Linked DNA regions of Macaca fascicularis. Each later gene encodes a partner of the first gene's protein in a complex. Links are inferred from orthologs where the notes say so. Each region holds a gene or a part of one and is shown in the gene's direction. Other genes may lie near its edges.

Region 1 (3,807 bases):
CCTGCTTACAGCCAGGGTGGAAGGACAGACCTACTCATGAAACAAACACAGTGACATATAGTGACACAGAAGCAAATGCCGAATATACTTGCTCCAGATGCTAAGGGACAAGACGGCCAAGGATGGTGGAGTTCATGGAGAAAGCATCATGAGTGTTTTATTTGGCCTGCTGATTTGATCTCTCTAGCACTCCATCAAAGATGGCTACTTCCTAGTGCTGCTTGGCAATTCAGACCCTAAGCATATAACCACACTTTTCTGAAAGGGAGGAGAATTCAAGGTCTGCATTTTCTAAATATGAACATTGTGCATGATGAAGTCTTTCCAAGCAACACCAGTGGTTCCATGTGTGTGAACTTCTGGTTTGAGTGCTAGTGAGATACTTTCTGTAGTTCTAAATTGCCTGATTGTTTGGGGTTGTGGTATTTTCATAAAGATTGATCAGCATGTTCCAATTTCCTCCCCGACAGTCTTCCATTACCAAGTAAAGATTCATTTTTCTGGGACTGAGAGTGAAACCCATACCAACCAGGCCTTTGAGATTTCTCTGTACGGCACCGTGGCTGAGAGTGAGAACATCCCATTCACCCTGTGAGTAGCACACGGGGGCAGTCATCATGGCACTGCTCCCTCCCCTGCCATAACCCTCGGTCTGAGCAGCAGAGGCAGAGCGGGATGCCTAGAAAACAAGTCTCTAGTTTAAAAAATCAGAATTTCAAAATTGAGGTCTTTCCTCTATTTTATATTGAGAAAAAAAAATGCTTTAAATTGGTCATTTGATTTTTACTTACTAGTTATATTTTTTTATTCATCATCTTGTATCTGCTTATTTCTTTTATAAAGCTGCTGTTAAACAATACAATCAAATTATCTCAAAAGGTTTGACATTAAAGAAAATGAGCAATAGTAACAGGAAACCACTCTATAGATATATATATAATGTGTATAGAAAATATAAGTAGTAACAAGTCCATAACAAAGTGTTAGCACTTCTTTTTTTGTTTTTTTGTTTTTTGTTTTTTGTTTTTTTGAGATGGAGTCTTGCTCTGTCACCCACGTTGGAGTGCAGTGGTGTGATCTTAGCTCACTGCAAGCTCCGCCTCCCGAGTTCAAGCAATTCTTCTGCCTCAGCTTCCCGAGTAGCTGGGACTACAGGTGCCCGCCACCATGCCCAGCTAGTTTTTGTATTTTTAGTAGAGACAGGGTCTCACCATGTTGGCCAAGCTGGTCTCAAATTCCTGATCTCAGGTGATCCACCCACCTTGGCCTCCCAAAGCGCTGGGATTACAGGTGTGAGCCACTGTTCCCAGCCTACCCCTTACTATTAATCAAATTATAAAATTAAGGCAACTTGATATTCTTTTACAATTACTAGAAGAACAAATCTTTAAAATAGCCAGTGCAGACAAGGTGGTGAAGCAGAACATGTGAACCTACTGCGCATCGTTCATGGCTAGAACCCTCTAGGTGCAGTAGGCAGTACGTTAATAACTTTCCACAGCTACGAAATGTTATTACATAGAAGGAAGTGATTTTTTTCTAATATTTATCCTAAAGAAATAGTCAACAAACATTTTTAAAAACATCAATTACAGTGGTACATATACTAGCATAAATTAGAAATCCAGTATCCAACATTGAGTCAGTAGTTAAATGAACTGTGGTTTGTCAAGTCAATAAAATTGATCTAGCCTATAAAAACTATAATTCTGGGAAACCAGGAAAACATGGTAAAAAATAGAATATAAAATATAAAGAGAATAAAGAATAGAGAATTGCATGTGTGCTATGATTGTAACTAATGTTCAAGTATCAATACAAATTGAAAAAGAATACATGAAAATGAAAATTATATTTCTGAATACTGACTTCAGGATTTTCTTTTAGAATTGTATTAAATAGTTCATGTCATTAGGATAAATGCTGGAATAGATCAAAGGGATGTGGATATAATTTAAAATACACTAAATGCCATCAACTTTCATTTTGAGTATTTTGTTGGGCATTTTTTGCATTTTTAAAATATCCCCTAAACAATAAAGCTATTTATATTTGGAGAGGAGGAAAAAAAGTGTGGGGGGGCGCAGGGAGAGCTGATCTCTATAACTAACCAAATTTATTGCTTTTTTGTTTAGGCCTGAAGTTTCCACAAATAAGACATACTCCTTCCTAATTTACACAGAAGTAGACATTGGAGAACTACTCATGTTGAAGCTCAAATGGAAGAGCGATTCATACTTCAGCTGGTCAGACTGGTGGAGCAGTCCCGGCTTTGCCATTCAGAAGATCAGAGTAAAAGCCGGAGAGACTCAGAAAAAGTAATTAAATGTATTTTTTTTTCATTCACTTTAGACGCCCACCTGATGTCATGACCTACCGGTTGTATTTCAGGGGCCTTCAAGATTCAGGGAGAGCTTTAGGAAACCTTGTATTTATTACTATATGATGTAGATTTTCTTTAGGAGTATTATTTTATTTTATTATTTTATTTTTTGGGAAAATGACAGTATTTTTGTATTTCATGTAAGGAAAACATAAGCCCTGAATCGCTCACAGTTATTCAGTGAGCGCTGGGATTAGAAGTCAAGAATCTAAGCTTCTCATTTGGCACTGTTTCTTGTGAGCACAAAATAGCTGGGGAACAAACCTCCGAGATGTTACCTGGATAATCAAAGATTCAAACCAACCTCTTCAAGGGGGATGAGATTCCAAGATAATGTCAACCTGTCTATGCAGCCTCACCCATGGGTACCCATAAAATGAACTACATAGAGAACGCTATAGTAGTCATTTGCTTGTATCACCAAAAAGAAAAAGAAAAAGAAAGATCTTGGGGATGGGATGGAAATGTTATAAAGAATCTTTTTTTCACTAGCAAGGTCCAGTTGAAGGCAGATGCTAAGAGATGGCAGGGTTGATCTTTTATCATCTCTTGGTGAAAGCCCAGTGATATAAGGCTGCTCTAGGCTGTCTGCATGCCTGTCTATCTAAATTAACCAGCTTGTTTGGTGAACACTGGGTTAGGCTCTCAAATTACCCTCTGATTCTGATGTGGCCTGAGTGTGACAGTTAATTATTGGGAATATCAAAACAATCACCCAGCACGATCACGTAGTATTTAAACAGTCCTGACAGAACTGTACCTTTGTGAACAGGGCTTTTGATTATTCTACATGGCATAGTCACATCCATTTTCTTCCACAGGGTGATCTTCTGTTCTAGGGAGAAAGTGTCTCACTTGCAAAAAGGAAAGGCACCTGCGGTATTTGTGAAATGCCATGACAAGTCTCTGAATAAGAAGTCAGGCTGGTGAGCATTCTGGGCTAAAGCTGTCCGGGCATCCTGAGCTTGTACCCTAAGGGAGGCAGCTTCATGCATTCTTCTTCACCCTATCACCAGCAGCTTGTCCTGACTCATGTGATCAAAGCCTTCAGTCTTTCTTAGTCCTTCTGCATACGTATCAGATGGGTCTGTTGCTTTTTGCAATACTTCCTCTTTCTTCTTTCTGTTGTTTCTCCCAGCCCTGACCTTCATCCCAGGCACACATTTTAGGTTTTATTTTACTCCCTGAACTACCCCTGAATCTTCACTTCTGCGTTTTTCTCTACTGCGTCTCTGCTGTCTTTGCAAATCCCATCTGCAGAGCATGTAACGCAAGTTTAGTAGTTGCCGTTCTGGCTGTGGGTGCAGTTCTTCCCAGGATGTATTCAGGGAAATGAAAAGGTTTCATTGCATCACCTGTAGCCACATAGTTCTTGATTCTGCAAGCGCCAGCGCACTCCAGGACAGCCAGCCAACAGGACTAGC
Region 2 (4,552 bases), about 130 Mb from region 1:
GGGGAGGCAGGGCGAGGGCGCAGGGAGGCGGGTGGGGGTGGGGTCACACCGGGAGGGGCAGGGAGGGGCAGGGCTGGGGGGACAAGCACCACGTATGAAGAGTTTGGGGCTGGCGGGGCATGTCCAGCTGTGGCATGAGCACCGCTATGGGAGACCCTGGCTTGGAAAGTGACTTTGCAGCCTTGGACAGGGAAGGGCTGGATGCTGGGTGGGTGCTGATAGAGAAGAATGGAAGAATGACAGGTTCAGGTGAATTAAGGAGGGATGGTTGACTCAGTGGCTGAGACATCAGAGACAGATATTCCCAGCCTCAGGCGCTGTCCTAAGCCCAGCAGGTACTGACCCTTGATGGTCACCTCACCCTATGAGGGAGCTGAGGCCTGGGGAACCCCAGGGGCTCGTCCAGGACCCAGAGCCAGGGGAAGGAGGAACCGGGTCTTAAACCCAGGCAGCTCACTCCAGAACCAACTCAACCTCTGTTACAGGTGGCCGGCCAGAAAGCCCCACCCCACCCATTGACAGTCAGGGAAACTGAGGCCTCAGTAGGTGAAGGGCCTGACCCAAGCGCCAAGGCACACAGACGCCCAGGCTTGACCCTGGCTCCAGACTCCCATCCAGCCCCTGCCGCTGCCCCACCCCTCTGCTACCCTCAGGAGACTCTGCCCTCTGCATCCCACCCCCAGGGGCTTGGGCAGGGGCTTGGGAGGAGAGGGTGGCCTCAGGGAGGGACCTGGGCTTTCCAAGCCTCTCCCAGAGCAGCCTCTCTCTCACACAAGGCCAGAAGGCAGGTGGGGGCTGATGGCTTTCCCAGCAGAAGGCCAAGGGTTGGGCCCCCAACAGCTCCGGAAAGCTCTCCACTGGACACCAGCAGGAACAGCACTGCAGACGGAACAGCAGGGGCAAAGACCCGAGGTGATAGTGGGGAGGCCTTGGGCCCAGCAAGTGCACTGCTGAGTGTGGGTGAGGAGGAGGTGAGCACACAGCCTTAGCTTGAGGGCACTGACTGTGTTTTTATTTAAATGCTCTTAAAGGGGCCTGGGTGTGATGCTGACTCTGGAATGAAGATGCTTGGCCAGTGATCAGCAAATAGAGGGTCTGTGACCCCAAGCTCCTGTGACTATGGAGCCCAGACATGGGGTTAGGGGGTGTCAGGCATGGCCCAATCCAGGGCAAGGCTCCCTGCCCTGCACTACAGGGCTGAGGCACTGAGCAGCAAGGCAGGCCAGGGCCAGCAGCTCCTGTGGCCAGCACCGCCTTCCAACCGCTGGCACAGGTGCACGGGACGCTCCAAGGCCAACCACAATGACTTCTCCTTCCCCTCCAGCCCCAGAGGTCCTGGAGGGAAACAACAGTCCCTGGCCTGGCGCCTGGAGCTGGGACCCATGTGAGGCCCATTGTTTGAGGCTGGAGCTGGTGGGGGCCACTGGGAAGCCCACGGCAATGCCCTTCATCCCACTTATCGCAGCTCCAGAGTGCTGCGCGAGGAGTCGGGGACGTAGCAGCGTCGGCGAGATGAAGGTGCTCAGGGCTCTCCTGCTTGCCCTTTTGCTGTGCGGACAGCCAGGTGCGGGGCAAAGGGTAACCCTGCGGTGAGGGGCCAGTGAGTGCAGTCCTGGAGCACGGGGACCTCCAGGGAACCCCAGCAGGGGCTTAGGAAGAAGGAGGGGATGAGGCCGGAGTCCCCAGCCCAGAGCGGTGTGGATGGAAGCTGGTCTGGGACCCCAAGAGTCCCCAAACATCTGTGCTCCTGTTTATGTGGGGTGCGGGGAGGGGCTACCATAAAGGGCCAGCCCACAGCAGCTGCTGTTGTAACTAGTGTGCCAGGGCACACTCGGCTGCAGGACAGTGAGCAGGGTGTGCAGGGGCCGGAGGCCACACCAGGTAGGCTGCCCTGGGGCCTGAGGGTGGCAGGGGAGGGCCAAGGAGTTGGGGGCGTGATGCTTGCCCAGAGCAGGTGTCCTCCATACCTGGTAACTGAGGCTTACAAGCATCCCTGCACGGCCAGGAAGAGGGCAAGCACAGCAGGAGGAAGAGGACGAGGATGAGGACCACAGGCTAGATGACGACGACGAGGAAGATGAGGACGAGGTGGAAGAGGAGGAGACCAACAGGCTCCCTGGTGGCAGGGGCAGAGGTACGGCTGCCCCAACCCCAGGGCCCCGTTGCCTGCTCTGCCTGGAGCACTCTGGGCGGGGCTGTGCGATGGAAGCCAACAGGCCACAGTCCCGCTGTGAGCTTGCCTCCAGCAGAGTGGGGGACACTCAGTGCACCCCTCACTTCTTCCACTCACCATGACACCCAGTTCCAGAGTAGGGAACAGGGGAAGAAGCCACCAGCTGGGAGGGTCAGTGGTGCCAGGATGTAGAGGTTAAACAGGAGTTCACCTGGCAGAGAAGGGCTCAGTAGGGGCCCAGGGTGGAGACAGCAAGCACAGAGGCCACAGGGTAGGGTTCAGTTTTGTGGGGCAGAGAGAGCAGCAGGGTGGGCCGGTCCTGTGCAGGGGAGAGATGGATTGGCTGCTGCAGGCAGGGGAACCAGGGAAGCGCTTAGAGCAGAGCAGAGTGGGGCTAATAAGAGCCCACCCCCCCCTCGTCCAACACACCCCTACACGCTGGGCCACCCTCTGCTCTCTCCCATCCCCAGAACAAAGCAGAGCTAATCGCCGCATCCAACCTTCAAGCCGACCACTCCCTAGCCAGGGCGTCCAGCGTGCCCACCACACACAGCCCACCCCTACTCCCAGGGCCCCCAGGCCTGCCCTCAGCACAAGCCCTGCCCCACACACCCACAAGGTGTCCCCTGTGAGGCCCTCCTCTGTGAGGCCCGGTGCTCCCAGAGGCAGGACTGAGTCAGACTCGCCTCCAGGTTTCCATGCCCACAGCAGGAGCCTGGGCAGCACTGTCACAGGAGGTGAGCGACGATGGGAAGTTCGCCCTGCCTGGGCCGCAATCCCTTGCCCCTAAACACACAGGCTCACGCACACAGCACGGCTTACAGGGCCGAGTCGGGGTGGCCCGCCCGTCTGAGCAGTGGGTGCTGGAGGCTCACCAGGCTAGGCTTTGGGAGCACAACTGAGAATGGGGAGGTGGATAGGGACATGGACCCGGCCTGGGCCTGAGCCCACCTTGTCCACAGTGCTGCTGTGGTGCTATACCTGCCAGTCCCTGTCCAGGGACGAGCACTGCAACCTGACGCGGAGCTGCTCACATGGCCAGGCCTGCACAACCCTCATTGCCCACGGGAACACCGGTAAGTTGGCGTGGGGCCGCAGCACACGCAGCACACGCACCCCCAGGTGGCGGGAAAGCCAGGGGCCCTGAACAGAGCCCTGTAGAGCCACCTCGGAGGCCCCGCCCATCCTCAGCATCTGTTCCCCACTCCCCTCCCCAGAGTCAGGCCTCCTGACCACCCACTCTGCATGGTGTACAGACAACTGCCAGCCCATCACCAAGACGGTCGAGGGGACCCAGGTGACCACAACCTGCTGCCAGTTCAACCTGTGCAATGTCCCACCCTGGCAGAGCTCCCGAGTCCAGGACCCACCAGGCAAGGGGGCAGGCGGCCCCCGGGGCAGCTGCGAAACTGCAGGCACAGCCCTCCTGCTCAACCTCCTCGCTGGCCTTGGAGCAATGGGGGCCGGGAGACCCTGACCCACGGCCCCTCCCCACCCCGACCCAACTCACCCCTCTCCCTGCCAGCACTCTGTCGGGTACCTTCCCCTCCTGCCCCTGCACCAGCTTTGGAGAATGAATTTAGAGTGTCTTGGGCAATCCAGCCAGCACAGCCCCGCCGGCCCGGTTGCTTCCTCAGTTCCCGGCTTTGCCCTTGGTTTCCTCTCCCCACCGCCTGTGAGTGGCAGGACTGCAGCACGTGGGCGCTGGGTCCAGACCTTGGCCACCACGCCCCAGGGCCTGCAACCCTCATGGGGGTTGGGGATCCCCACCAGCACAGCTAGGCAGAGATGATACCCACCACATGCCTGGGGGCCCCCACACCCAATCCTCACCCTTAACTTCTGCCACAGGAATTCCTCCATCTGCAGCGGTCACACCGGCCCGCCCTGCCTTTCCCCAGGTCAGCCTCCCGGCTGTCTGGAGGGAAGAGGCCTTGGAGGGAGGCTATAGTCACCCCTAGGAAAGACGGGCCTGGGGGAGGCAGGATAGTAGGGGAGGCGGGCTGAGGATGAGAGGGCACAGGGAGGCAGGTCGGGGTGAGGCCACACGCGGAGGGGCAGTGCGGGGCTGGGGGGACAGGCACCAAGTGTGGAGAGGATGGGGCCAGCGGAGCCTGTCTGGCTATGGCATGAGCACCGCCATGGGAGACCCTGGCTTGGAAAGTTACCTTGCAGCCTTGGATGGGGAAGGGCCGGATGCTGGGTGGGTGCCTGTCACCTTGAAGTGACCATCAAGGGTCAGTACCTACTGGGCTTAGGACAGCACCTGAGGCTGGGAATACCTGTCTCTGCTCTAGCAGAGGCTGGAGCAGGCTAGAGCAGTGGAGGAGTGGAGTTGATGAAAGGAGAGAAGTAGATGAGATGAAATTTTTCCAGCCT

The links.
Region 2: the proteins of LPL (region 1) and GPIHBP1 are in contact, whole or in part, in a crystal structure (PDB 6OAU), measured with the Homo sapiens proteins. The link is inferred for Macaca fascicularis from reciprocal best matches to the Homo sapiens genes LPL and GPIHBP1. Residues at the interface, in NP_000228.1 of Homo sapiens: Tyr367, Gly368, Thr369, Ala371, Glu372, Glu374, Leu403, Met404, Lys406, Lys430, Lys440, Ile443, Cys445, Ser446, Arg447, Glu448, Val463, Lys464, Cys465, His466, Asp467, Ser469; in NP_835466.2 of Homo sapiens: Cys68, Lys69, Ser70, Leu92, Ala94, His95, Gly96, Asn97, Thr98, Glu99, Ser100, Leu103, Thr104, Thr105, Ser107, Trp109, Cys110, Thr111, Asp112, Ile117, Lys119, Val121, Glu122, Thr124, Val126, Met128.

The regions. Positions count from the first base shown.
Region 1 is NC_088382.1:23,021,517-23,025,323, forward strand, and holds part of LPL (lipoprotein lipase), read left to right. Parts: intron 1-470; coding exon 471-591; intron 592-2,135; coding exon 2,136-2,318; intron 2,319-3,204; coding exon 3,205-3,309; intron 3,310-3,807. UniProt on the Homo sapiens protein: Key enzyme in triglyceride metabolism.
Region 2 is NC_088382.1:152,863,373-152,867,924, forward strand, and holds the start of GPIHBP1 (glycosylphosphatidylinositol-anchored high density lipoprotein-binding protein 1), read left to right. Parts: upstream 1-1,469; 5' UTR 1,470-1,512; coding exon 1,513-1,564; intron 1,565-2,005; coding exon 2,006-2,134; intron 2,135-3,135; coding exon 3,136-3,249; intron 3,250-3,390; coding exon 3,391-3,650; 3' UTR 3,651-4,552.